Linked DNA regions of Daphnia pulex. The protein of the gene in region 1 interacts with the protein of each later gene in a pairwise test. Links are inferred from orthologs where the notes say so. Each region holds a gene or a part of one and is shown in the gene's direction. Other genes may lie near its edges.

What was found.
Region 2: the proteins of huntingtin-like (region 1) and osteoclast-stimulating factor 1-like interact in binary tests that used the Homo sapiens proteins (3 or more experiments, as listed by UniProt). The link is inferred for Daphnia pulex from reciprocal best matches to the Homo sapiens genes HTT and OSTF1.
Region 3: the proteins of huntingtin-like (region 1) and serrate RNA effector molecule homolog interact in binary tests that used the Homo sapiens proteins (3 or more experiments, as listed by UniProt). The link is inferred for Daphnia pulex from reciprocal best matches to the Homo sapiens genes HTT and SRRT.
Region 4: the proteins of huntingtin-like (region 1) and coatomer subunit beta-like interact in binary tests that used the Homo sapiens proteins (3 or more experiments, as listed by UniProt). The link is inferred for Daphnia pulex from reciprocal best matches to the Homo sapiens genes HTT and COPB1.
Region 5: the proteins of huntingtin-like (region 1) and transcription elongation regulator 1-like interact in binary tests that used the Homo sapiens proteins (3 or more experiments, as listed by UniProt). The link is inferred for Daphnia pulex from reciprocal best matches to the Homo sapiens genes HTT and TCERG1.
Region 6: the proteins of huntingtin-like (region 1) and 26S proteasome non-ATPase regulatory subunit 4-like interact in binary tests that used the Homo sapiens proteins (3 or more experiments, as listed by UniProt). The link is inferred for Daphnia pulex from reciprocal best matches to the Homo sapiens genes HTT and PSMD4.
Region 7: the proteins of huntingtin-like (region 1) and nuclear factor NF-kappa-B p100 subunit-like interact in binary tests that used the Homo sapiens proteins (3 or more experiments, as listed by UniProt). The link is inferred for Daphnia pulex from reciprocal best matches to the Homo sapiens genes HTT and NFKB1.

The regions. Positions count from the first base shown.
Region 1 is NC_060020.1:1,047,203-1,050,702, forward strand, and holds part of huntingtin-like, read left to right. Parts: coding exon 1-161; intron 162-223; coding exon 224-328; intron 329-383; coding exon 384-573; intron 574-653; coding exon 654-972; intron 973-1,033; coding exon 1,034-1,154; intron 1,155-1,214; coding exon 1,215-1,400; intron 1,401-1,466; coding exon 1,467-1,590; intron 1,591-1,651; coding exon 1,652-1,770; intron 1,771-1,840; coding exon 1,841-2,072; intron 2,073-2,139; coding exon 2,140-2,337; intron 2,338-2,400; coding exon 2,401-2,588; intron 2,589-2,657; coding exon 2,658-2,844; intron 2,845-2,907; coding exon 2,908-3,055; intron 3,056-3,118; coding exon 3,119-3,203; intron 3,204-3,278; coding exon 3,279-3,441; intron 3,442-3,500.
Region 2 is NC_060022.1:6,869,850-6,873,274, reverse strand, and holds osteoclast-stimulating factor 1-like, read left to right. Parts: upstream 1-1,491; 5' UTR 1,492-1,646; coding exon 1,647-1,680; intron 1,681-1,773; coding exon 1,774-1,820; intron 1,821-1,900; coding exon 1,901-2,018; intron 2,019-2,101; coding exon 2,102-2,205; intron 2,206-2,269; coding exon 2,270-2,377; intron 2,378-2,444; coding exon 2,445-2,681; 3' UTR 2,682-2,925; downstream 2,926-3,425.
Region 3 is NC_060024.1:618,478-622,473, forward strand, and holds the start of serrate RNA effector molecule homolog, read left to right. Parts: upstream 1-1,196; 5' UTR 1,197-1,354; exon of another isoform or gene 1,355-1,471; intron 1,472-1,617; 5' UTR 1,618-1,645; coding exon 1,646-1,782; intron 1,783-1,841; coding exon 1,842-2,003; intron 2,004-2,061; coding exon 2,062-2,184; intron 2,185-2,254; coding exon 2,255-2,425; intron 2,426-2,985; coding exon 2,986-3,052; intron 3,053-3,111; coding exon 3,112-3,291; intron 3,292-3,363; coding exon 3,364-3,511; intron 3,512-3,578; coding exon 3,579-3,901; intron 3,902-3,967; coding exon 3,968-3,996. Other genes in the region: uncharacterized protein R102.4-like, read right to left, coding at 107-251, 359-564. UniProt on the Homo sapiens protein: Acts as a mediator between the cap-binding complex (CBC) and the primary microRNAs (miRNAs) processing machinery during cell proliferation.
Region 4 is NC_060020.1:2,118,638-2,122,886, reverse strand, and holds the start of coatomer subunit beta-like, read left to right. Parts: upstream 1-1,449; 5' UTR 1,450-1,601; intron 1,602-1,756; coding exon 1,757-2,137; intron 2,138-2,201; coding exon 2,202-2,462; intron 2,463-2,525; coding exon 2,526-2,718; intron 2,719-2,788; coding exon 2,789-2,907; intron 2,908-2,965; coding exon 2,966-3,094; intron 3,095-3,158; coding exon 3,159-3,421; intron 3,422-3,493; coding exon 3,494-3,805; intron 3,806-3,868; coding exon 3,869-4,091; intron 4,092-4,151; coding exon 4,152-4,249. Other genes in the region: uncharacterized protein LOC124192347, read right to left, coding at 136-202. UniProt on the Homo sapiens protein: The coatomer is a cytosolic protein complex that binds to dilysine motifs and reversibly associates with Golgi non-clathrin-coated vesicles, which further mediate biosynthetic protein transport from the ER, via the Golgi up to the trans Golgi network.
Region 5 is NC_060019.1:12,732,122-12,736,353, reverse strand, and holds the start of transcription elongation regulator 1-like, read left to right. Parts: upstream 1-1,432; 5' UTR 1,433-1,582; coding exon 1,583-1,592; intron 1,593-1,682; coding exon 1,683-2,155; intron 2,156-2,219; coding exon 2,220-2,379; intron 2,380-2,443; coding exon 2,444-2,685; intron 2,686-2,750; coding exon 2,751-2,796; intron 2,797-2,853; coding exon 2,854-2,934; intron 2,935-3,002; coding exon 3,003-3,097; intron 3,098-3,158; coding exon 3,159-3,291; intron 3,292-3,349; coding exon 3,350-3,575; intron 3,576-3,636; coding exon 3,637-3,782; intron 3,783-3,842; coding exon 3,843-3,947; intron 3,948-4,003; coding exon 4,004-4,140; intron 4,141-4,203; coding exon 4,204-4,232. UniProt on the Homo sapiens protein: Transcription factor that binds RNA polymerase II and inhibits the elongation of transcripts from target promoters. Regulates transcription elongation in a TATA box-dependent manner.
Region 6 is NC_060020.1:3,405,142-3,409,062, forward strand, and holds 26S proteasome non-ATPase regulatory subunit 4-like, read left to right. Parts: upstream 1-1,488; 5' UTR 1,489-1,615; coding exon 1,616-1,641; intron 1,642-1,830; coding exon 1,831-1,971; intron 1,972-2,038; coding exon 2,039-2,150; intron 2,151-2,213; coding exon 2,214-2,369; intron 2,370-2,437; coding exon 2,438-2,525; intron 2,526-2,588; coding exon 2,589-2,716; intron 2,717-2,778; coding exon 2,779-3,067; intron 3,068-3,132; coding exon 3,133-3,359; 3' UTR 3,360-3,421; downstream 3,422-3,921. Other genes in the region: golgin subfamily A member 7-like, read left to right, coding at 1-17, 193-345, 407-508, 755-811; vesicle transport protein SEC20-like, read right to left, coding at 3,563-3,750, 3,815-3,921. UniProt on the Homo sapiens protein: Component of the 26S proteasome, a multiprotein complex involved in the ATP-dependent degradation of ubiquitinated proteins.
Region 7 is NC_060019.1:3,340,688-3,344,861, reverse strand, and holds the start of nuclear factor NF-kappa-B p100 subunit-like, read left to right. Parts: upstream 1-1,374; 5' UTR 1,375-1,586; intron 1,587-1,683; exon of another isoform or gene 1,684-1,711; 5' UTR 1,712-1,712; coding exon 1,713-1,842; intron 1,843-1,910; coding exon 1,911-2,086; intron 2,087-2,517; coding exon 2,518-2,696; intron 2,697-2,768; coding exon 2,769-2,883; intron 2,884-2,977; coding exon 2,978-3,116; intron 3,117-4,076; coding exon 4,077-4,174.

The DNA.
Region 1 (3,500 bases):
ATTCTTTTACATATCATTTCCAGTTTTCAGACAATTTCCAGTGGCATTGTGCACAGAAGAATGTGCAAACTTGTTCTAAACGCAAATTTCACTTCTTCTGAATCTAAGCTTCGTTGTTTGGAAAATGTACAAAAAATCGTTCTTCAGTCAGCTAATCAAAGGTTCTTGGCACTCGCCCACCTACTATCCTACGTTTTATGACATCTTCAATTTTCTTTTTTAGATGGTATTCCGAGATCACAGCAGTTCCAAGCGCTACCTTTGAAAATAGGTCTAGCATGTTGCGAGATATCGACAAGGCGTTTGTGCTGGATTTTGCGTTGAAAAGGTGGTTTAAAAATTATTTTCTGGTTTTATCTTGCTAAATCGTCTTCATAATTTAGGGAGTTAGAACCTTTAATGTGGAGAGAAATCGTCGCTCAGACAAACACAGACGACTTTCCGTTATTGTGCAGCAATCATAGTTTCCTTTTATATGTCCTTGGAAGTCGAATATTGAAATATGATGCTTTTTACCATGCCAAGGCATACCTTTTAAATATGATTACCGCCGAAGCCTTCGACAACTCTAAGGTACGCCGATTTCGGATGCTATTAATTTTTTGAACGGTTTTATCTTTTTATGAAATGAGCATCTCATTTTTTTCCATTAGATCCTGTCAATCGCTCATATTCTCAGTGCATTGTGCAAATCCATCTCACCATCGGAGGTCAACGATATTTTCACTGCATCCGAAATCACCATATTGGCTAAAACACCGCTTACCTTAATTGGTGCGATGGATTCGCTTTCCCATTCGTTAGTTCTTCTACAGGCGTCCTCTGAGATTGTTTCCATATTTGGGCGTGAACTTGCAATTGAATGGACAGACAAAGAGAATCTACCGGCTGTTTACAAGGCAATCCATTGTTTGGAGTCTCTTTGCATTCGGATAAGAAACAATGCAACTCTAGAACAACCTACTATTACCGGTAAATATCCTAAATTGTCTTCTTTAGTTGAAGATTTGATAACGAACGAATTTTCATTTAGGCCTGGAGCAAATGATTTGTCCTGATCCAAACTTTGTTTCGAGTGCGAAACAATTAAACCGAATACTTAGATTTATCGAACAAGAATCAAACATTCCAGGAATACTTCATCAAGACTTACTGTAAATTGTATTTCTGAATATTGATAAATCAATTCATTAAGATTTTTCTACTATTTTCAGGTCGACTGTTACTGTGTTTTGTCGAATGCCACTCTTCTATTCCTATATTTGCATTCCGCCATCCGCTTGGAGCAAAGGCTGGAATCCTGAGCTAAATTTGGATGTCGAACATATCACATTGGATCTACCAATAATCCCTTCACATTTTCTGCATGATGAAGTTGTTTTAAAAGAATTCGTTTTCCGGTAATTTTGGGACATTTTCTTATAAATGGATCTTGGATCATGCTGACTGCTTACTTATTCTTAAAGAATCGAGCAAATTAGCTGGATTACCAAAAAGAAATTTGAAGAAATTTGGATGACTTTTCTTGGCATTTTGAACTTACACAATGAGGATCAAGTGAGACCCGAAGAACAAGCAAGCGTCATCCAGGTATCATAACAGAGTTGGTAATTTTTTCTTACAATTTTTGAAAAACCATTTGAATTCAAAGGCTACATGTGAAGCCGTGCGAGCTCTTACAATGGTGCTTCAAAAAAATCTACCATTTAAGACGCCAAGATCTGTGAAAAATAATGAACTAGACAAGCCTCCTGAGTTCACGTCAACTGAGTAAAGCCAATGTGTTATTTAATCTCGCTTAATTATAGCTAATTGTCAATATTTTTAATGGATATTGTAGAAGGGGCAAGAAGCTGAAAGAACTCTGCAATTTGCTAGAAGAAGATTACACGATATCATCTTCCTGCAGTTATTGGCTCAATCGTCACTCCTTCAGACACATTCAATATAATATTGATCAAGGTTCACCATCCAAAAAGAAGGCTACTAGTCCCGAAGATGTTACAGATATAGATATCCAATCCTGTGTTCGCTTCTTAGTGGATCTCTACTCACAGTGGCTTCAGAATTCGGTAACCTTAATCTTCTATGTAGAAAATAATGATATTTTTCTTCAACATTTTCTTTTTTTTTCTCAAGAATACGCCGTACCCGCTGCTAGTGGACTTGTTTCAATCCCTAGTGCACATATCAAACTTCTTTGTCGATGTTCAACAGTTTGAGTGGATGCTGGATAACTCCTTAACCTTACACAGGCAACTTCTTCCTGATGATCCTGCGAGCTTAGAGTCCGCTTTAGTAGGGTGCATCTTGAAATCTGCTTCTTTTATACCCATGGTACAAAATTCATCTGAAATCTGAAGTTTTGTGATAATGTATTGTTATTTTTTCATGTCTCAGAATATGGAATACTGGGAATTAGTAAAAAAGCACTGTGAAACCGCATTGAATTCCCAGCATATTTCCACGCGAACTAGTGGATTAAATGGTCTTTTGTATCTACTTCAAAAGTTTGCCAGAAATCCAGATCTTGCTCGTACAGGCACTCTCGTCAACCTGGCTATGGATTATGTCGGTAAATGTCTCAGGTTGGTGTGATTCATCTCTTTACGTTTAAAGAAATTTGTCTGTTTATTTATTTGAAATATCATATTAAGCCCTGAACACAATGGTCCGACCTGGCATCAGTCCTTCGTTTGGTCAATAGCGTTCTATTGCGGCGAACATTTTGCAGTATTGCCCTATCAGAATTATGCTGTCGTCGATTTTGTTGTTCAGTGCGCTCTTAGTAGGCTTGTGCAAAACGAACAACAATCAAACGAGATCCCAAAAGAAATTTTACAGGTATTTCGTGAATTTATTGAAGATCTTATGTTGTAGGCTAATCTCGTTATTGATTCGTTATAGGGATTAGAACGGCTGAGCATTCTAGGCGTATTGACTCCGATTTGGCGAACGCAAGTTAAAAAAGAGGTTCTCAATTTAATACGCAATGTTGATTGTGATTGGATTCTACAGCCAGCACTACGAACTCTGCTGTCATTAGTCTATTCAGGTATAGGGTTTCATGCTGACTCTGTTTTTTCACTCCTCTCAAACCAATATTTACTTTTTCAAGATTTTGGTAGCCAATTGTATAAACCTGGAGCAGATCCTGAAACGATGCTCGCCGCTATGGAATGGGTGGGCGCCCTGTTCCAACGGTAAAGCTGAATAAGATGATTCTTGTTTACTTAGTTATTAATTTGTATCTGTTTCTTAATTTTCCATTTCCTCAGAATGAAGCGCGGAACAGATCTAGAGGCGGAGCTTTTGGGGCGAATTATGCCCGTCATAACCTGTGATATTTTCCCACCAGCAGACATCTTGAATCGTATTTTAAGTGAATTTATAACGGCAAGACCCACAGTTGCCTGTTGTTTAACTCCAACCATTTTCAAAGTAAGTCGTGGAACGTAGAATTTGTGTGGCATTGTCAACTGCCAAGATGTTTACTCTCT
Region 2 (3,425 bases), on another chromosome or scaffold:
TTTCTCATTCAAGAGCTCATCCGAGGGACCCCCGTGCTCTTGAAGAAACAAGAGTAATCGAGTCGACTAAATAAATTTAATTTGATAAGACTGTTTTCCCATGAAATACAAACATTTTATTTTCAAAACTCTAGCGAAAAGTAATATTCGTTAATATATAGTGTACACAGTACACACATTCATATCCATACATACATTCACATTACATATACTATGAGTCATGAAACATGGCGGCCTAAACGGGCCTCATCCGTCAATTTGCACTCTGGTGGGGAAAAGAAAACATTTTCGTTTCGCATTTTGAGGTTTCGCATTTTAGTATGCCCTCCGGCATTTGGTCCCGCGAAACGGTCCAAAAATTTTGGTCCGTTTCGCACAGCCTTTCCGCATTTTAGGCGTTTCGCGTTTCGCGTTTCGCTTTCGCAGTTTAGGGACAGAGCCTGATTTCTCCATTCCCATTCGTGGAAAATGTTCCAATTCCAAATTTGAAAATGCTGTCTCAGACGGCCACTGGATTACGAACTTGTGCTCTAACTTAACTAAGCTATTACTAAGCTTAAATTAGTTAATATTAATAATAATTTATTTTATATAATTCCTTAATATATTATCTCTCCTCTCGCCAACACAAGACTCGAGCCAATCGCATGTCGCCATGCTCGCAAACAGATAAAGGCCTCTTCAGGAAATAAACTAAACAATAAACGAAAGCAAGGGTATGGAAAGATGGATGCCAATGACCATGTTAAATTTCCCATAAGGGGATTCGACGGCAAGCTACTTTGCTACTTTTTTACTAGCGATTTTGTATGGAGGTCGAGTTGAATCAACGCCATCTAGGACGTTGCGAGTTGCGACATATAAACAGTCAACTCGACCTTTTAGTAAAATGAGCAGACGGCCCCTTATGGGAAATTTTTAAAAATGGATGCTGGAAACCATCTCTCCATAGTCCATACTCCATACCACTGACGAAAGGCAAGGCTTTCAAAAAACAGGGTTATATGGTTGGCTGCTGTGCGAAATTGGAAGCGAAAGGAAGCTTCTCGATAAGTCGATTTATTTTTCCACTTGCGGTATTAAAACTAAAACCCTTTGCACTATTATAAGTAAATATATACATATAATAGGCTACAAGCAAATTTGTCAGATGTAATTTTTTCACTCTGATATATAAAATGCAGGAAAAGCTGCGATACGACGAAGGAAAGATAAAATTGTTGAAAAGAATTCAAGAAATGAATATTTATACTTGCATTGCCTACTGCCTACGTTGCTTACTTGCCAGGAGATAAGCAAACAATCTGTACCACTAATTATGCATCGAAAAAGGTTGAGCATGCGGTTTTGTTATTTCCTAATAATTAGTTCTAGACTTCTATGCAATCGCCAATCGGGAGGAAGTTTACAACATGCAATGCAATCCTCTTATCCGCGCCGAAAAGCAGTTTGGTGTTTTGGTCTGCCAGTGAAAAAATTCCGCTAGGTTCGCCCTCTATGAAAAAAACCCCAGTCGTGCCTTATCCTTCCTTATCATTCCCCCTTCATGGCCTTATGGACGTATGAAAAACCATTTTACTTTGGAAAAAACCTAAATTGAAATAAATCTTGTGAATACTTAAAAGTATATTTTCTTTGAATTAAAAATGAATGTACCTCCTCCGAAACCTCCAAAACCAGGTATTAGTAATATTCAACACTTCAATTTACAGTTAAAAAAGTTTTCCCTGCCTCCTCTGTCAATGTGTCAATAATATTGAAATGTCATGACAGGGCAAGTGAAAGTCGTTAAAGCATTATACGCCTATACGGCACAGCATGTAAGTTTTATTTTTTTGCTATACAATTCTAACAATTAAGGCTTCAGAAATAATCTTAATTAACATGCTCATATTCCTAGCCTGATGAACTGTCATTTGAAGAAGGAGAGTTGTTATATGTCATGGAATCCTCCTCAGACCCTAACTGGCTAAAGGCTAAGTGTGGTACCTGTACTGGATTAATTCCCTGCAATTATGGTAACTTGAATCAAATATTGTTATCCATTGAAAAGTGTTATTAAGGAAACAATCAACACATTTTCTGTTTCATTTTCTGTCAGTTGAAGAAAATGCTGAGTTGATAACAATGCCCCTTCATGATGCATGTCGGCGTGGGAATGTCTTATTTTTAGAAGAGGCAATTCTCAATGGAGTGTCTGTGAATGCAAGTTAATTAGCTCCATTTAGGAGTTATAACTGATGCTGAAGTTTCATTATTTTTTTTTAAGCAACTCGATAAAGCAGGTAATACAGCCTTGTTCTGGGCAGCCCATGGAGGACATATTTCTTGCATGCAACTATTACTGCAATCAGAAAAAATTGATTTAAATGCTCAAGTAATTAATTTACCTAATTTTATTATTTATTTTATAATCTAATAGATATTTGTTTATATATACATAGAATAAATTAGGAGACACTGCACTTCATGCTGCTGCTTGGAAAGGTAGAATTGAAGCTGTTAGTTTGCTACTTTCAAGTGGAGCAAAAACAAACATTTTAAATTGTGAAGGGAACAAAGCCTTAGCTCTTTCCAGGGATCCTGAGATTATCAATATGATAGCCAAGCATGATGATAGCCTTATATCAAACAATGTTAGTGAATACTTTGGTAATGCTGAGGAATTGGATTCTGACTGATAAATTATTATGTCTTAATGGAATCAGTTCTTTCTTGAAAAGCAGGCTGAAGTTAACAAACTAAATTTTCATGAAATATCTTTTACATTTACTTCTTTCAATGTGTGCTGTATTTTCAAATTGATTTGTTTATTTTTTATTCACATATAGGAATGTTATTTGTTTTACAACTTGTAAAATGTTCATATTGTTGTGAATCATTGTTTTTAGTTTCGGTGATAAATACATTCAGTAAAAAATAAAATTACCCTAAAAACAAATTCTCAAAAGTATTTTATTTTGATTCTATGTCAAAATTTGTTTGATTCTTCCCGTACAGATTCAGGTTACAAGGTTTGAGATTTTTTTTTCTTTTTTTTTTTATAAAAAAGACGTACTCGAGGTTAGGGCTGAAACACGGGCCATGAATACCAGGCCACTGCCCGGGTTAAAGGGAAAAAAAACAGGAAATGTGTAACCACCACTGAGGTTTTTTGAAACCACTGAGGTATTTTTTTTACGGGACGGGCGCCGGGGCAGCCGGGTCGTATCGCTGGGTCCGCGGGCAAGCCCGAACGGTAGCTAGATGGCGTTGCGGTGAAACTTTTTTTTTTTTTTTTACATTTTTTTTTGTGTCGGTTTCGGCGTGCCAGCAAACGGCAAACCAATGTAAAAAAAAATAAAAAAAAAAAAAAAAAAAAAACTTTTTTAACACATGTAAAAAATTCACCCATTTAGCTCCGGGCTGTATGAATGAAATTTCTG
Region 3 (3,996 bases), on another chromosome or scaffold:
CAACAATACTACGTTTGTAATGATCGTTACATGGAATAAAGCACTTATGAAGCTTCCAGTTTACTTATACAGCGTTACTTTGATTGATTTCATCAAAAACATACCCTTATTTGTCTTGAGCGAGATTGATGTCTTCAGGTGGGTTACTGCAGTGAACAACAATTATGATGTTCGTTTCAGTCATCGGGTAAGCAAGCCAACGAATATCTTGACCGATCCCGTGAACTTCCTTTTCAGTAGATTCAGCAAATCTTTTCACAATTGAATTAGGGGTAGCACCTGATATGGGCTCGACTTTTAGCATAACCATATTCGTCTCTACGGTATATCGATCAACTTCCACAACGCTTTTTCCAACCTCTTGCGCAGTAACAGCCAATTGACCAATTGTTTGGTGAAAATATGATCTTGAGCTACCCTGGTAGGTCCCTTTGAAAGTGACAAAATTCCGGCTGCGGCCAAAATACCCGCCTGCCGCATTCCTCCTCCAAGTGCTTTTCGACAACGATGAGCCTGAGTATGAGTGTTATTGAATACCTCCAGTTCATGTTGATATCCATCCATGGTTGATATTTTAATAGATGGAATTTATGTTGCATAAAGGGCCGATTTCACAGCAAATGACACTGCATCATAAGGGTTCTCTCCACATTCATGATCTATTTTAATGCCATTAAAATGATTCATGAGAAATTGTTGATTGGTGGAAAAATGAGAAATTGATGATTGGTGGAAATATTGACAAATTCCCCCCAAAAAACCTAAACCCCGTGAAAAAAACACCCTATCGGGAAACTCGCGCGCGAAGCAAGGGATCGGCATGTGTACACACTACGAACGGTGCGATGGTTTAGCCTAGCATGTGGCGCCACGACAATTTAATTTATCATTAGATCAATTAAAGCTATAATTAGGATTAAAATATAAAATTCATAACAAATACAAAATAAATAATAGAATGTAATAGCTAGTTGAATCTTGCTTTTGCCAATGGTGTTAATAAAAAAATCTTTAAGACTACTTTCTTACTAGGTACATTAGAAGTTTAATTCATAAATGATCCAATTATTAGAAAAAAACATTGGTGAAAATATATTTTTTTGTTATCTTATTAGTTATTACAAGAAATTAACTAGCTTAGCGCTTAGCGGCCTTAGCCTATGTCGCTTGTCAGTTGTCTCTCAGCCCAAGCCATGTTCTTCAGTTACTGATTATTCAAATCATAAGGCAGTAACAGTTTTACCCTGCAGGCGACAGCACTTGTATTCCTCAAACTTTCGTTGGCACCAACGGGCAACGGCGTTCTCAGTTTTCTTCTGATCGCGTGGCGAAATCAAACTAAACGCAAATTTGGGTAAAGTTCGAAGAAGATATGAAATTTATGAACATCAATAGTTTTATAGCGAGTTCTGTAACTTTGTGTGTGAAATTAAGTTTTTTATTTTACTTGCGTTGGTATTTGAGTATGCCGGTACATCGAATTGTTCTTATCAAAAATCATCTGCATTTTCGGCCATATTGCCACTTAGTTGGCAGTACTTTTACTTATTAGTTGATTAATTGATGCTTAATATTATAAAACATTAAACTAAAGTTTCCTCTTTTTTTTCTCCATAGCTTAAGAAGTAGGTCACCAACCTGTACCATGGGGGACAGTGATGATGATTATGATCGTCGCAGAAGGGATAAGTTTAGAGGAGAACGAAGTGAGTACCGGGGAGCTGGAGAATCTGGAAGGAGAGAAGAAAGAGGCAATCCTAGGAGAGAAGAGTGGAATGATAGGTTGGTTTGACAAATGCTCTGTTATTTTTAAGCTGTTTAGTCCAATGCATGTTTCAAAGTAGAGGCATCATGGAACCGAGAAGAGGTGAATCTTGGTCTCAAAGAGGGTCTCGTTCTCAACCACGTCACGAATATCGCGAATCTTACAGAGGTCGTGAAAGATACAGCCCAGCAGGTGGGTATGATGCACCACAAGCTCCAAAAAGGATGAGGCCTGACTGGTATGTTTTTCATACTAATATTATGCTGCCATTTATTAATCTTGTAAAATGGTTTTAGGGAAGACAGGCGCTATGGATTTGATGCTGGTTATGGGCCCAACATTGGCTCTTCATGGGGTCAGAATGAACCAGTCATTAATACTCCACCAAACGCTGGAAACTTTAGTGGATCTTCTTCAAGGTAATGTTTTTATGGTAATTGTTAGTTGTGTAGGGTTAATAATAATAATAAATAATGCCTGATTTTCCAGAGGGGAAGAATTTCCTACTCAACCACCAATGATGTCCTTTAAAGCTTTTCTGGCTGCCCACGATGATTCAATCTCTGACGAAGAAGCAGTTAAAAAGTATGCCGAGTACAAGCTAGAATTTCGTCGTCAGCAGCTGAATGAATTTTTCACAAGCCACAAGGATGAAGAGTGGTATGTTTTTGCTTGTTTTTTTTCTTGTTTTTACAAGTGTTAATATCAAATTTAATCAATATTTTAAGAATTTCTTATAAGTTTTCTTTTAAAGACTTGTGTGTTGTGTATTGCATTGAATTTTTCTGGTAACTAAATTATTTATAAGTTTTGCCGCGTGTAATCGGATTTCGGATAACCAATTTACATATATTTAATCCCCCCTGTTTTTCAGCCGATTGACATAGCTGCTATTGACGTCCCTCCGTTTATTTCAACCATCTCCGACCTTTCTATAAGGTGCCATACCATCTGTCAAAAGCTACTTGAAAATCAATTTTTTAACTGTGTGAACATGAAATGAACAGATCTCCAAAGTGTGCGTTAGAGTAGGGTTCAACTGCGCGCAATGCAGTGGTCAGTTAGTAGCTAGGTTATAAAAAATCCGTACCGGGAGAACAGGTGAGGGAAATCTTGGCCTCTTGAAAAGTGTGGTCCCTAGCTGGTTATTTTAATTCGAAGTTTTCAACATTAATTCTGTTACTAATTTGTTTTATTATATTTTCCTCGAACGAATGTAGGTTTAAGTTGAAATATCACCCGGAAGAGAATCAAAAACGGAAGAACGAGCATAAAGCTCATATTGAAGTAAGTTGTCTCTAATTTTGACAGATTCTGGTTGTAACTAATCAATTAATTCAATATAGTTACGCATGAAAACTATTTTGGATTTAATGGCTGAGGGTTCTTTTGATCAAGTGACTATCGATGCGGATCAGTCAGAAAAGCTAGTAAAACTTCTTGACACCGTGGTAATTAAACTCGAAGGTGGGAATGAGTTAGATCTTCAGGTCCTTGACAACCCTCCTCAACCAACCGCCGATAAGGTTTGTCTATTTAATTTCCTTTAATTGGTTATAACTGATTTTTTAAAAATCATTTCACTTTCATAATTGAAGCAGCCTATTAAAATCCAAGAGAAGGTTATCAAGGAGATTGAAGATAAAGAAAATGATGATTTGGGCGAAGGCGACGATGCTAAAGAAGATGGTGTGATCGAGGACTCCAAAATGGAAATTAGCTCTGACCCAAAAAGTCCTAATAACAGTAGGAATTCATTGTTATTAATTTTTGACGCACTGCCTTACCAGTATTTTTTATATTTATTTTATAGGTGGCAAAAGAAAACGAAGCGGATTTGAATCGGATAGTGGAAGCGACTGGGAGCGGGAAGGAAAGGAACAATCGGAAATATCTGAAGCTCCTCAAAGCCCTGATGGTAAGCCAGCTGGTGGTGAGGGTAGTCCTAGGGAAACCGAAGCAGCTGATGAAATTCCAGTAAAAGATGATGCCAAAGAAAAAGTTGATGAAGATGAAAGCAAGGAGGAAGAAAAAAAGGAAAATGGCGGGCCAGTTCTTCCCCGAGAATTGCATCGGACTGCCTCCATATTTCTCCGTAATTTGGCACCTACCATTACCAAACTGGAAGTCGAAGCGGTAATGAGAGTTTCTAATTTTTTTTGTTAGATTCAGTTTTCTAATCTTTAGCTTTGTTTAATGAAGATGTGCAAACGGTATCCTGGATTTTTACG
Region 4 (4,249 bases), about 1.1 Mb from region 1:
TGGTAAGGGGCAAGGCACTTGGAAGCGATAGCAATACAATAACAGTTATCAGAAAACTTAGCGTGAGAGTTTCCGAGTAAGGTTATTTGAAGGGTAAAATTACGACATTAACGGACTTTTCAGTGAATTCCTTACCTTCACTGAAATGTGACAAAACAGGCGATACAAACAAAAAAACTAAAAATAGAAGGAACAATCGCATGATGAACTCTCAACAGCGAATGACGACACCCCAATTAAAAATGAACTCGAAAATCAGAAAGTCTTGTATACTGGCCGATGACTTGGAGCCGTCTGTTCACTAACAGCAGTTGTCTTTCTTTATAGCTAGCTGTAACATCATGCTCTGTGGTGCCTGTGAGGAAAAAATCAAATGTCTTTCCGATTGCCGGTGGCGTCAAAAGAAGAAGACCCTAGTTTCCCTCTTACGGGAAAGCGTGATGTTTATCTATCGTGAGGATGGCCTCATTCTACCCACACGCTTTTTTTAAATATAAGATAATTTCTTTTACGTTGAAAATATAACATGTTTGCATTATAAAACGTTTTTTAAAAATTTAAAGATATTTTACTTGAATACTTGAACTTTTTTTAGATGGAAGGCCTACCAACACAAAAAAAACAAATTTTAAGGAAAGATCATCGTAGACGCAACAATGATAGTCGCGGAAATTTCCATGATTCCTTTTGCTCAATGCCTCAGTTAGTTTAAAACGATGAAAATAAATAATAAATGAAAAGTATCCTGAACAAACATAATTACATTTGATGCTAATAACATAAAACATAAATATTTAATATCGATTAGCTATAGGCTACAGTGAGCCGAGCGAACCAACGAAGTAACGACCATATTAAACGTATTAAAGCTGGTAACTACGAAATAGAGATATAACGGCCAGTACCTTCGGATGCTAATCGTTTCCAATTCTAATTTTCTGTGATTAATGGCAAGACGATTAATATGCAATCTGCATATTGTGAAGCAGTGAAGGTATGGAGATTGTGGCCATCTGCACATTCTATTTCGAACGAACATTTCTATTATCAAATAACTAAGAACAAATTGTATCGTCTCTTAAAGGCTTTGCCGATTAAATGGACGAAAAATTCTAACTAACTCCCATCAAAATACCTTTACACATTGAAAACAAACTGACCATTGCCGAAGATGGAGACGTGACTGGTGCTGGTCTTCAAACCTGCTTCAAACGTGTCGAAGAAGTTCACAGTGGTTCAGAGAAACATGGGTGACGATGACTAGGCAGTTGACACATTGTTTATCCGGGAAACCCACAAAAACTCTTGTTTTGATGGTACAGAGAGAGAGTATGCCTGGAAAATCTGGAAACCAACACAAGCTGGGACTGAATATCTATTTTGAATAAAAATAACAAAAAAACAACGTCAAAATTAAAACTCATAATGGCAACATGGCTGCGTGGTTGTCAATTTTACGAATTAAGATCTGTCGCTTACCGACTGACGTGGGTATTTTCTGACATTCTGCAACGTCAAAGGTTTCGTGAATTTCCTTCGTTTCATATAGTTACGGCTCACACAGAAAACACAACAAGCCGTTGTAATACAAAGAAATCAAGGCAAGTCATCCGACATTTTGGAATCGTTATTCAGTGTTCAACAAATACCATCGTTATAGATTTCGAATGGGTTGCGGGTCGCTGTCACAATAACATTTCATCGAGCGTAAACCGGTCCAAGTTTTCACGATTCATGTATTGTTTTGTTTTTACAGATGTCTGTGACTGAGCAACCTTGTTATACCCTCATCAGTACTCCAGATTCTGACTATCCACCTCCAGATCAGCTGCGAAAAGAGTTGGAAATTGGAGATATCAAAGCCAAGATTGATGCTTTAAAAAAGGCCATTTACATAATTTTAAATGGAGAAAAGATTCCAGGAATCCTCATGGCAGTGGTCAAATTTGTGCTGCCACTTCAGGATCATAATGTCAAGAAACTTCTGTTGATATTCTGGGAAATCATTCCAAAGACTTCAGCAGATGGAAAACTCTTGCATGAAATGATTCTCGTCTGTGATGCTTACAGGAGAGATTTGCAACATCCAAATGAATTTATTAGAGGATCAACATTACGTTTTCTTTGCAAGCTTAAGGTAAGCCAATTTCTTTTATACCTTAATTTATTGATAAGCTAATCTTTTGTAATTTACTTTTTAGGAACCTGAAATCTTAGAACCGTTGATGCCATCGATCAGGTCGTGTTTGGAGCACCGACATTCTTACGTTCGACGCAATGCTGTTTTGGCAATTTACACAATTTACCGCAATTTTGATTTCCTCATTCCTGACGGGCCAGAATTGATTGCCAATTTTCTAGAACGTGAACAGGACATGTCCTGTAAACGTAATGCATTCATGATGTTGATTCACGCTGACCAAGAAAGGGCGCTCTCCTATCTTACCTCTTGCATCGATCAAGTAATAGAACTATTTTAAGGTTTCCAATTTCCAAACAAACTTAAGGAAAACAAAATCTGTTAGGTTCACTCCTTCGGTGATATTCTGCAATTGGTCATCGTTGAACTTATCTACAAAGTGTGTCACGCCAATCCTAGTGAGCGATCGCGTTTCATTCGTTGTATCTACAGTCTCTTGAATGCCACCAGTCCGGCCGTTCGCTACGAAGCTGCTGGCACTCTAGTAACCTTATCGTCCGCACCGTCGGCTATTAAAGGTATTATTCATATTCACTAATATTTAATTTGGGTTTCCAACTTAATATGTTTTCTCTTCTTCTTGAACAGCTGCTGCTAGTTGCTACATCGAAATTATCTTAAAGGAAAGCGACAATAATGTGAAGTTGATTGTGCTGGATCGTTTGATCGCCTTGAAAGAGCAGCCGAATCAAGAACGTGTCTTGCAGGTATCTTGAATTTAATCATTCACATGTTACAAAATATTAATTATGTAATTCATTTCAGGAATTGGTGATGGACATCTTGCGGGTATTGGCTACTCCAGATTTGGAAGTACGAAAGAAGACACTATCCCTTATACTTGATTTAGTGTCTTCGCGAAACATAGAAGATATCGTGCTCGTTTTGAAAAAGGTAAGAATTCCGGTGAAATGGTAAATCGATAGGAATAATTTTCTATTGATGAATTATCTTGTAGGAGGTAACAAAGACGCACAACACAACCGAGCATGAAGATACGGGAAAGTATCGGCAACTTTTGGTGCGCACTCTTCACTCGTGTTGCATCAAGTTTCCTGACATTTCTGCGACCGTCATCCCTGTACTGACTGAATTCCTTTCCGACACCAACGAGCTAGCAGCCGCCGATGTTTTGGTCTTTGTTCGCGAAGCGATTCAGAAGTTCGAAGGACTTCGTCCATTAATCATCGAAAAACTTTTAGAAGCCTTTCTTTCCATCAAGTAAGTTTAAATAACTCCATTTCGTTTTTACTGGCAGCAATTCTACATTAGATGTTTTTTTTTTTTTCAAAGATCCGTCAAGGTGCACCGTGCAGCAATTTGGATCTTGGGCGAATACGCCACTTCGGCTGATGACATTCGTTCAGTTATGTCCAAAGTGCGACAATCGCTTGGCGAAATTCCAATCGTGGATGACGAAATCCGAAAAGCAGCAGGAGAGCAGACCGATCCGGAAAATCCTTTAGCACAGGGAACTGGGAGCGTTACTAATCCTGTTGCTTCTAGCGCCCGCTTGGTAACTGCAGATGGTACATACGCTACGCAGTCTATCTTCAGTGCTGCCGTAACAACCGCCAAAAAAGAAGAAAGGCCTCCTCTTCGAAAGTATGTCAATTCTGTTGATGTCGTTCCATTTAGCATTGCATTCATAATTAAATTTCTTTGTAGATATCTGATGGAAGGCGATTTCTTCATTGGTGCATCAATGGCTACAACTATGACAAAGCTGGCCTTACGTTTTGTTCAACAAGTGTCGAACCCGCAAACGCAAAACCAGTTTTGTGCCGAAGCCATGCTAGTGATTGCAGCGATTCTTCATTTGGGTCGTTCGGGACTGCCTCAGAAACCAATTAGCAATGACGATGCTGAAAGATTGGGGCTTTGCCTTAAGGTAAGTTATCAATGGTAAAAAATGAGTGAACCCCCATTACAATTTTCTTTTTCGACATAGGTGCTCTCGGATCGATCACCGATTTTAGTAGAAGTATTTACCGATGCCTGCCGTAGATCCATTTCACTTATGTTAGCTGCCAAAGCTGAGGAAGAAGC
Region 5 (4,232 bases), on another chromosome or scaffold:
TTAGCTAGTCATCTAATTCAATTGGTCACCTGCTGCTTTTAGATATTAATATTAGGTAGAGGCTTTCCTTTGCATCACTACACATTTCCTGGTGAAATGTGGGATTTCTCACAGTTATTAGACATGGCATCAAACCATGACCTAACTTAAGTTTTTTTTTTTTCTTTTTTATTGGAAAATGTTATTTATACCCATCATTTTCAAGCCTTGACTGAAGGAACTTGTGTTCATAAATCGTTAAATTATTATCTTTCATATCAATCACTACCCGTAAAAGGACCTGTTGGAACACCTATATTGCAACCAAGTTGTGTTGTTGGTTCTACTTTGCATTCACAGGAGAAGAAAAAGCCAATTTTTCCACATATTTTCAAAAATTTATAAAGACAATCATTCACTCACCTTTTCCTACTGAACTGTTATTTCTTATCATCTTTGTTCATCAGCTTTCATATTTTTAAAAATTTATCTCTTTTTACAACAGACATTTATTCTTGTAAATTTAGGATTTCATGATCCAAGTAGACAAGCTCAGCTCGTGACAATTTATAACATTATTCTAACGTATTTCATGCGTTTAGAGTTATGATACCTGAACCACATTTTTATCACATCCTTTGCCAAATGAATGTCTAGATCAAAGTATGAGTCTGATGGCAATATCATTCAATTGCGCTCAACTCACGCTACCAACCAGGTCAAGACATATGAGTGACTGATCTCTTCATATTCTATACTACATGTTACCTTCAAGCATTTAATTATATATCAATGTTACATAGATTAGAATATTAAATAGTACTATATAAACCCCGACATGTTACTTAAAACCTCCCTTTTTAAATGTTCTATTTCTATCCAAAAATTGGAGCAACTTATATTGATACTCTCCTTCCCGCGCGAGTGGAATTTATACTTTTTATACGATTTATACTCAATGTCTTGAGAGGTGATATAACATGTATAACATAACGAACACCATCACAGTTTAACTGGTAGATGAGTGATCCAAGTCAGATCCTTTATTGGCTTTTTTCTTTGTTAACATTTCAATATTAATGCAATATTGCCAATACATAACTGACCCCACACAACAGTTGCGCAATCGTTTCATCTAATTGGACATTTTCTGCATGAACACCTCACTAAACAATTTAATAACTTTTCAAGAATTCGAAGAAAGCGGTAGCAAAAGCTATTAAAAGGATCTTAACGTCTAGCCATGGCTTAGCACGGTCGGCAAACTCTATGTCTTCCCTAAATTATTTTTTTTTTGGCCAAGAAAATCTTTGTAATGTGTGTAATAAAGCGATACAAAACTCCAAATACTTAAAACGCGATGAACTAAAGAATTGGTAAAATCATCCATAAGCTAAACTATTTGAACATGAAAGAATTTCGCGCTAATTTTGCTTTGCTTGTTCACCACCCTCTACCGTCAGTTTGGTAAACTACCGTCACTTTAGTAATGGTCGTCAAAAATGCTGTGACTCAAGCAAATCTCACATCGCCGGAATAGAAATTTTGTTTAAATAAAAGTTGTTGACAATAATCATTCTTTCTGGTATCTGAATTATCTACAATGGATAGCGGTAAATATATCTGATGGATTATTATACGACACTTCCTCTAGAAAAAGCAAGATTCGTTACTTACTAGTTTATTTGAACGTTGTCTTGCAGGGTCCGAAAACAACGATTCATTTTTCATCGAGGGACCCTCTAACACTGGCCCTAATGCAAATGAGGAGAATTTCGCCGATGATGGAGACTTTGGCCCACCCATGTCTTATCAACAACAGCATTATGGTGGACCTAGAGGCCCACCAGGAATGGGGCCTAGAGGACCGATGGGCATGAGACCTGGCATGAGACCATTTGGTGGAGGTGGTCCAATGGGCCCCCGTCCACCGTTTATGCAGAGAGGACCACCAGGAGGACATGGTGGATTCCATGGCCCCCGTCCAGGTCCACCTCAGCGTTTCCAAGGCCCACCACCAAGAGGTATGGGCCCGATGGGAGGGCCACGAGGGCCACCTCCAAATATGATGCAGGGCTATAGTGATTATCCTCGACAGATGAGACCCCATTTTTCACAGGAACAGAATGGTGGTCGCAATGGCGATTCAATGGATGGCTCTGGTGGATGGGATATGGTAAGTCAGGAAATGTTGCCTCTGTTGACAGTAGTCCAATAACTCACAAACATCTTACTTACAGCAAGGTCCACCTAATCAACCAAACGGTGGTGGCATGGGCTACATGGGTGGCCCACCACAACAAGGACCACCTCCGAGTTATGGTAATGTACCACCTCCCCATAATCAACATTATGGAAATATGCCTCCTCAACAGCCTACAGCACATGGATACGGTAACGGTAAGTTGTCTTGAAATGTGTTTAGTTTTTCATGGTACTCAACTTTCACTAATGGATTACATAGGTGGTCATCCTGGTTATCCTGGATCTGGGATGGCTCCTGCACCTGGTGGATACCAGCAACCCCATCAGTCTCAACCGCAATCTCATCTAGCTCCAGTTAGTGAAATCGACGCATCAACTGACGAAGTCTGGGTTGAAACGAAAGCAGGAGATGGTAAATCATATTATTATCATGCTAAATCAAGAGAGACTACTTGGACTAGACCCGAGGGGCCGAACGTAAAGGTTTTGACACAGCAGCAGGTAATTCGTAAAATCAGTCATCTTTCCTAAATAGAACCTGAACTTATTTTATTATTCACTCCTAGGTTGAAGCAATGGCACAGTCTGCAGCATCAAAGCCCCCAGAAAATGGTAAGATCATTTATAATTGCCCTTAAAACGAAACTTATTTTTATATTTAAATGGCAGGAGTGGCTATGCCAACTGGACCAACTCAAGGTGGTAGCTATGGACCTGGAGCTCAACAGCCATTCTATCCAGCACATCAAGGTCTGTATTCATTTTAGTTTCATTTTAACTAGAGTAGAAATAATATTAAGGGTTTTTTAAATTTCCAGGTTGGAACATGGGGGGTGCAGTGGCTCCAACACCTGCACCTGCATTGTCGGCTGGACCTGTTCCATATCCCGTTATGTTGGGATCTGATCCAGGGGTAATCATCTTTTGACCAAGTTTTTATCCAGTACAAATTTTTAATGCGTTTTGTTTTTCAGACTGATCCCATACTATTGTCACAAGCAATGGAATGGTGCGAATACCGTTCTCCTGATGGCAAGCCTTATTACTTTAATGTGAAATCATCATCGAGTGTTTGGGAAAAACCACAGGCTTTGAAAGATTATGAAGGTAATTCCCAACTTATTATTGTTTGTTCTGTTTTTCTCAAGTTTTCTCTTTGTTGTAGTGGCTCGCCTTGCCGCAGCAGCCCGAGTTCATGCCACTCCTTCTGTCCCAATTGCCCAACCCGTTCAGCCTGCTTCAATGCCCGAGGTTGCGAAAAAAGAGGAACCCAAAGTCTCCGAATCTGAAAAGGCAGAACCAGCGAAAGAAACAAAGGAAAAAGAGGAAGTTAAAGTACCGAAAGACAAGAGCAGACCCGTTTCTAGCACTCCGGTGCCTGGAACTCCATGGTACGATTGGTTTTAAAGGAGTTTAGTTACAATATATACAACTATTATTATTATCATGAAGGTGCGTTGTTTGGACTGGTGACGGAAGAGTATTCTTTTTCAATCCAAGTACCCGTTCTTCCGTCTGGGAGAAACCAGAAGATTTGAAAAACCGACCTGACGTCGACAAGTTGATAGCGAATGTCCCCGATGACAGTCCTCAACAAGGTATCAATATCTACTCTTTAAATTTGAAATGTGGCACTCGTAACGTTTTTATCCTTGCAGTTGATAAGAAAGATGAAATTAAAGAAATCAAGCCAGATAAAAAGAAGAAAAGCGAAAGCGGAACCGATGAACCTCCTCTAAAGAAATCCAAAATCAATGACGAAGGTAACATCATTCAAATTTTCCAAAGACAATTTAATGAAAAGAATCTCTATTTACAGTCATTGAAGAGGTTAGAATCGAAGAACCTACCAAAGATACTGCCATGGAGGCTGAGGTGAAAGCTGCTCAGCAGAGAGCTGTGATTCCCCTCGAGGATCGTGTTCAGCAGTTTAAAGCCATGTTGGCAGAGAAAGAGGTAGCGCAAGTGCAAAACTTTGTTTGTTTTCATTCATCACGTAGTATTGAAATTTTATTTTAGGTTTCCGCTTTCTCAACCTGGGAAAAAGA
Region 6 (3,921 bases), about 2.4 Mb from region 1:
CAGAACTGGAAGGGAAGGTAAGAAAATAAATGTTTTTCATTTTGTTTAATGTTCAGGGTTGAATAGCAGTCAAAATAAATAATCGGTGTGTGTGCATGTTGGATTGTGCACTCATGCCAGAATTATTTATATACAGTTATTATCATTATCAAATCATTTTAATTGTTCTAATACTGTATTCATTTGTTTTAGATTGAAAGGGAAAAATTTGAGTACACTCTTAATACTCTTAATGAGGTATATGCAGAAGCAGAAAAAATGAGTTGTAGCTCATGCTGTGAGGGATGTTTCGCATGCTTGACTGCATACTTGCTATACTGTTGTAGTGATACTCATTTTGAGAAGGCAAGTCCAGTAAGAATCTACTTCTCTAGATTTTGACTTTAATCATCCTTTTTTTTTATAGTGTTTGAAGAAGGTGGCCAAATTTATCATTGAACAAAATGAAAGAGTTTATGTACCTAGAGGACTACTGATTATTGACCCTGTTGAACGAGGACTCAGAGTTGTATCCTTTTAAAAAAAACTTAGTTAATTGCTACTAGGTTGTATGTTTTATTCTTAAGTAGCACATTTAAAAATTATAGCAAAATACCTAGTATCAATCATATTAAATCAAATGGTAAAAAACCTAAAATCGTTAGATGTGGTAATACTTAGTTTCACATAATTTTAATTTAACATAATTTTACTGAATATTTTTATCTATACGCCATTCATACATAAACATTCCTTAACTTAATTATCTCTACAGATTGAAATTTGCATTTTCAGCGACAATCCTGCTTCTACACCTGCCAGGAACAACTAAATTTATGAAGACATCCTTGTATCTATATATTTGTAATTATGAACTTGAGTTTTCCTTTTTCATATTCCCATCCTAAGTTTGTGTAAACATGTGCTCATCATCATTAACTACCTAGATATTGTAAAATGAATAAATTGTGAAATGTGATTTGAATACTGATCCTTTGAAACAAATTGGTTTTGTCGTCATTTACCGCTTCCTTTATATCCAAACGTAAGTGAATTGTGCTACCGCGTATGGAAGCGCAAATAGGTGATAAATAAAACGTAGAAATTTGTGTAAGATCTAAATTGGTGAACTGGTAATTTTAAATACTGCAAATTTAAATCCATTAAAAACCCAAGCAGGAGCTAACAGATTTTGTTAGATTAACTAATTTATTTACTATTGAAGTTTCTGATTTTTATCTAAGTGTTTGTTTTATTTCAACTTGCTCATAAATTCAGTTCTGTTTATGTATCTAGTGCGTAAATTAATAATTAATTACAAAAGAAAATTCGCTGTCCGTCACGGCATCCAACTAGTTAAGAAGTAGCTACAAGAATTACAAAATGGTTATAAATTAACTTCTCTCCGCGAGAAGTATAAATTCTGAAAGAAAGATTAGGCTGAAAAATTTTAATCATCCTAAAAAAGGATTAGTAGATCAGACTGGAACAGAAGTACAGAACGAGGAACGGACCAACCAAAACTCGGGAAATTCAGAATCGTGATAAATTCGTTTTCTTTGGTTTCCTGGCAACCCCGCATGAATTGTCACAAATTTACATCGACTGAACAACTTTTTTCATCGAGAAAGCAAAAATGGTGCTCGAAAGTACTATGATCTGGTAAATAAATCCGGTTTCTATCTTATCTTAAATTTGAAAATTGGTAAAGTAACAGTTAAGGGTCATATCATTCCAAATTATGGGAGTAATTTTTTTGTTTTGGATTATCTATTTGCTCTACTTGAGGAGTGAATTTTAGGCTTGTTGACTTGCAATTTTCTGAGTTAATGCGGCATTTTTAAATTTTAGTGTGGATAACAGCGAGTTCATGCGAAATGGAGATTTCATTCCTAGCCGACTCCAAGCCCAGCAAGATGCTGTTAATATGGTTTGTCATTCAAAAACAAGATCTAACCCAGAAAATAATGTTGGTCTACTGACATTGGCCAAGTATGCATTTCGCTAAGTTGTACGGCAATTTGTTCTCTAACTGATGTGTTGCCTCACTAAATTTCAGCACCAAGGTACTGGCAACATTGACTACAGATGCTGGGCGTATACTATCAAAGCTTCATCAAGTGCAGCCAGAAGGCTCAATCAATCTCCTAACAGGAGTTAGAATTGCCCATGTAATATTTATTTTGAAGTATTGTGTTCTTGAGTTATCTAATATTAATTTACCTGTCTAATAGCTCGCTCTTAAACATCGGCAAGGGAAAAATCATCGAACTAGAATTGTAGTATTCATAGGTTCCCCCCTGAATTTCGATGAAAAGGAATTGAACAAATTGGCCAGAAAACTGAAGAAAGAAAAAGTTAATGTTGATATCATTTGCTTTGGGGAGGAAGTGAGTTCTTTCTTTGTTTTTTAAATAACTATTTCGGTAATTTCTTACATGATTTTGGATTTTATTAGAATGGAGGAACTGAAGTGCTGGCTAGTTTTATCAATACTCTTAATGGCAAAGATGGCACTGGCAGTCATTTAGTTACCATTCCACCCGGTAATTTTACAAATCCTTTTAAAGGATGTATATATTTTTACAGTATCAATTTTTTGTTTAAAGGGCCCCATCTTGCCGATGCGCTGATTTCCTCACCAGTCATTCAAGGAGAAGATGGTACAGGAGCGGTTGGAATGGGGGCTGGAGGTTTTGAATTTGTCGATCCTAATGAAGATCCTGAATTAGCTCTCGTAAGTGTTATCACTATTTAAATAGTTTATTATTTCATTTTAAAATTATTTTCTTATTAAAGGCGTTACGAGTGTCGATGGAGGAGCAGCGTCAGCGTCAAGAGGACGAAGCTCGTCGTTCGGGAAATCCGCCGGCTACAGAGCCCGCTGCAGCTACCACTATTGGCGGTGCCCCTGCTTCCAACGAAGATGCTATGCTCGAGCGTGCGTTGGCTATGTCTATGGATCAACCAAGTGTCAATACAACTGTAGCCAGTGCCGCCCCTGCAGCACCCGTTTATCCCGATTTCGCAACAATGACTGAAGAGGAACAAATTGCATATGCAATGCAAATGTCCATGGCAGAAGCTCGTAAGTTCTTTGTAAGGTGATATGTTGTTGCGGTTTGTAGACTAATAATTTAATATAAAATTCAGAGGGACCAGTAAAAACGGAAACCGAAGCTATGGAAGTAGAACCAACGCCAGCAGCTGCGGCTAGTGATGATTATGATGAAGTTATGAAAGATCCCGAATTTCTTCAGAGTGTCCTAGAAACGCTTCCAGGTGTTGATCCTTCAAGTGATGCTGTACAATCTGCCGTCGACGCTTTGCGAAACCAAGATAAAGACAAAAAGCAAGGCAAAAAGCCTGACTCCAAGTAAACAGATTGATTTCTTACGCGTCGCGAATGTTTGAATCCGGAATAAATTGATTTTCATCTGTTCATTACGTCTGCATTTAATGTAATGCGGAAGGTGTTTTGTTCGGTTGGCACATAACTGCGTAATTGATTATTCTAGGATGTTTTCGTATTTTTCTGAACTGAATAAAGAAACTCAAAAAATCTTGATGTACAAATTTATCTCTAGAACATGCGCTTTTGAATGACATATACACAAGCTGCAAAGAATGCAGCCAAAGCTAGAATAATTAAAATCAAATCGGTCGTCTCTCTCCGTCCAAACCGGGAGACCAACTTTTTTGTGGTTGTTAAGGCGCTTCCCATAACTTTAAACTCATCCTGATTGTCACTCACAGCATGTGATGATTGAGCTACACAATATATTAATTTATAGTATTGATTAAATTTAAAAAAAAATGGATTAATTGTTCATACCAAGTACTTCTAGAGTTCCTCTATTTTGCTCCAGAACACTAGCCATGGATTGACTTATACTTCTCAAATTGGCAGTCACATTGGTTGACATTTTGATAAGTTCCTCT
Region 7 (4,174 bases), on another chromosome or scaffold:
CCCTCTCTCGTTTGCAAAGACATTTTCTCATAGAAGTATTGAAAATAATATATTTACTTCCCACAGAGAAGCAGTAACGGGCGTGCAGCACAAAGATTTTAGGAGTCTATAGCTCTAATTTAAGCATAGATAAAGAAGACTTATGGTGTCTTTATCTGTGATTTAAGTACCTGAAAATCTGAAATCTTTGTGCTGCACGCCCGTTACTGCTTCTCTGTGGGAAGTAAATATATTATTTTCAATTGTACTTCTTTCTATACTTCGCGTGCGAAGCAAGGGATCTGCATTCCGTTTCTTGCACCAAAAGCCCGGAGGGAACCTTGCTACGCAAGTCGCACGGTGCAATGTTATTCGCAATTTTTTAATATTTTTGTACCTATATTTAAGTATTTCCCACTTATTGCCTGTACCGTTAGATGTGTTACTCAATTGGTCATCTTTTAATTTTTACTTCAAGCCCAAATACAATCTAGTCTATTTTATATTAAAATTATTCTTTAGTTGTTTACCCTTCTTACATGCTATCCCCGACAAGATTATGGCGGTCATTTTGATGATAAGCCTTAGAAGTGTACTGACCATAAATTCTTAATTCCCTAGCAAGAATCTAAAACTATTTAATTTAATTTATTAAAAACAAACGAGTTAAAAAAATTCAAAAGAGGTCAGACCCAGACCAAGTTGGAAACTCGAAAGCGAACGAGGGGTCTGATTATAAACACCTGTAAATAAATTTTGTTATAAAAGTAATTGTAGCCTATTTTAAAAATGAACGTTTTCAACGGTATTGTGCATGGAATATTCTAAATACCATACTATATTATTTTAAATATTGCAAAATTTGCGCACGTCATTGCTGTTTGCATATAATATTCGATAACATTTGATTTAATGAATGCACCAGCGACTTGCCATGCTAATCTTTGGTGTTGGAATCAAAGTCGAGATATGAAACGTAACATGTGCATACCACCGAAAGTTTGTTTATTACACATTTATGGACTGGGAAAGTGGACGTCTCTCGAGTGCAACATGAGGCAATGTATCCACAAATAAAGGGGAAAAACCCACCAGTTTTCGAAAACATAGCGTATGGAATTAGAATGTACATTTAAGAAGCGGAGAGTTATGGCGCTGTCCGCTGCGGCAGATTTTTTTTTGTGTTGTCAAATTCACATTTTTATTTATCCAAAGAAAAACTACGGCTTCATATGAAAGTTTAAAAAAATATTAAATATAAATTAGCTGAGAAATTAATTTTTTACTTTAAAGGTTTTTAACTTTTTACAATTTATAATTGTTTGTGTTTCAATTTTACGCCGACAGAGGTCTTAGGTTTTACAACTCCGACTATGGAATATAATCGAAAGTTTTGTTTATACACATGGGTTTTCCCCTTCTGTCATATCAATGAAGCTTCAGGCTAAAGATTGCGCGAGCAGTGCTAAATTTACTTATAAAACTTTGTAACTTTGTGAAAGGCTCCAGTTTGAACGGTCTTTGTTGAATATAACACGCAAATCGAAATGATTTTTAGCTAATTCGTTTGCGTTGAATTAATACGAGAATTCTTTCGTGTATTCAAGGTTAGTTCCGTTGTGTATCTTATGAACTGTGTTGACTGTTGATATACATTATATCATTTATATCTCTTTAACATATAATCAAATGTTATTTAATAAGTATGATTATTAAAATTAAAATTATGAAGAATGCATCAACCAATTGGTAGTAGTCCTTACTCACCTGAATCATCACATTCCTCAAGTTCTCCGATAAGCCACAGCTTCTCCAGTGGAAACTCTCCTATGATGTGTGCCTCACCAAACAGTGCCTACATGGGTAATCAGCAGTTTTTTAGAATGAATTTATGTTAAAATTGTGTAAAATATGGATTCATTTTATTACAGGAAATTCTCCCAGTTCAATTCCTATCAGACCAGGCAGGCTATCCCCATGTTTATCTATACTTAATCAACCACAAGGGAAGTTTCGTTTTCGTTATGCCTCTGAAATGACTGGAACACATGGATGTCTTATGGCAGAAAGCAAGGAACGGAACAAAAAAGAATATATTCGTGTTCAAGTATGTTTCACTTGCTAATGTAAATATTTACCAACTCATCCATAATTTCAAATCTGGAATCTTAAGTATTTAATTATAATTACTAGGTTGTAGTAAATTATATATGGGTTGAATTATCATTCAAAACTGTTGATCTTTAATCTCCACTTTATAACTCAGAAGTCAGAATACCTTAATTTAAAAAGAGAGGTAGGGGTTAACGCCAAGCGATTCCTGCTATTGCGTTTAATGTTATGCCGTTGTAAAACAGTGTACGATAATTCCACCTATAGAACTGTATTTCAACTTTTTCAGTTGACACTTATTTCTGTCACACATATTAGTTGTGTTAGAATTAGTCAGTTTTGTATTGGTATATTTTCATTTTGCCAATTATTCACAATTATTTAGAATTAATATTAATGCCAGTATTACTAAATGACTGTCTTTAGTTGGAAGGCTGTCAAGATCGAGAAGCTATTATTCGTTGTACATTAGTTACAAACAGTTCAAAACCTGTTCCACATGTCCATCGTCTTGGAGGGGAAGGAAACTCCAATGGGAACAATGGGAACGAAGGAGAATACCAAGAAATGATAGTCTCCGCTGGTAAAAACGAATGGACTGCAACGTATGTATAGGCTACTCAATAAAATTGTTAATAATAGTAATAATAAATTTTTTTAAATATTTTGTTTTAAAGTTTCTCCGGTTTAACAATTATACACACAGCGAAAAAACAAGTCCGTGAGGTGGTTGAAAGGCGTTTGATAAATGAACTGGGGAATGCACCCATGAATCGTAACCAAGGGCAACAGGTATGGAGTTTTCAATGATTATATTCTATTTTAAGTAGTCTTATTTGTTGTTGCATTAGTAAAGTTATTTAACATTCATCCCCGGTCATTATAGTTGAAGGACGAAGCAGACAAGATAGCCAATACAATGGATCTTCATTCGGTTAAACTAAAGTTTGAGGCCTTTGTGGAACAAAACGGTTTTCGTGAACAGATCTGCCCACCTCAATATTCCCAAGCTATTCACAATTTAAGTAAGTTTTAAAAGATATCTATAGTAGTGGAAAATGTTGCTAATTAAAACTACCGCGTTAAAGAAGCGTGAAAGGAAAACGGAAAATCTAATTCGTCGTCCTAAATTTCGTATTTTTTTATGCACGTACTGTAGTTTTTAATACTAGCTAAGTATATTAATGGAAAAACAACAATAACCGAGGAGTTTGAGCGTTATTCATTTTTATTCCATTTTCTATTAATTAACGGTGACCTCTCTTTTTTTTATTGTTTCGATTATTTCTCTCCACTTTCAGAAGCGTAAAAAATGACGCCTTCGAAATCCAAGTAGCAAAGTCATTTTTAAATAGTTAAACGTAGGAATCCACTCAAATCAATTTACATGTGAAACCTCATTTCGGATTGAGAATTTTTGTAAAAAAATCACATTGATTTGATTCAAGTAAAAAAAAATTAATTTAAATCGATTCGAATCAATTTATGTTAAGATCTTTATCCACAAAACATTTGTATGGTTAGTACAGACAAAATAAATTACTTTTTAATCATTTAAAGAATAAAAGCACAAAAATCGAAATTTAAAAGGTTTCCATAAAATTGTTATCCTGTCTGTGCTTCTTTAAACGATTATAAAGTATTTTGAATGACACACATTTTGATACTTTTACATATGATTTTATTTAAAAAAATTACGGAAATCAGCATTAATGTACACATAAAAAAATATCCGCAATAACTTCAATGAATATTCACCTTCAAATTTTCTATTAATTCAATTGACCCGCGAATTTGGATTTTGTCAATTTAAGTTAGACTTCATCTTAAGTTTCGAAAAACTCGAATTCGAATTTCGATTTATACGAGATTTGATTGGAAGTCCTAAACATGAAGTGGATGTTCAGTCTTTCTAAACGAAGTGGAATTTTACTAACGCAGCAATACTGTTCTAACCTAATCTTACCGTGTTTTTCAAAATCTAGAAAGCACTCATGCTGGAGACTTACGCATCGTCCGAATAGATAAGGTCTATAGTTGTTGTACGGGACAGGAAGAGATTTTCATCTTCGTGGAGAAAGTC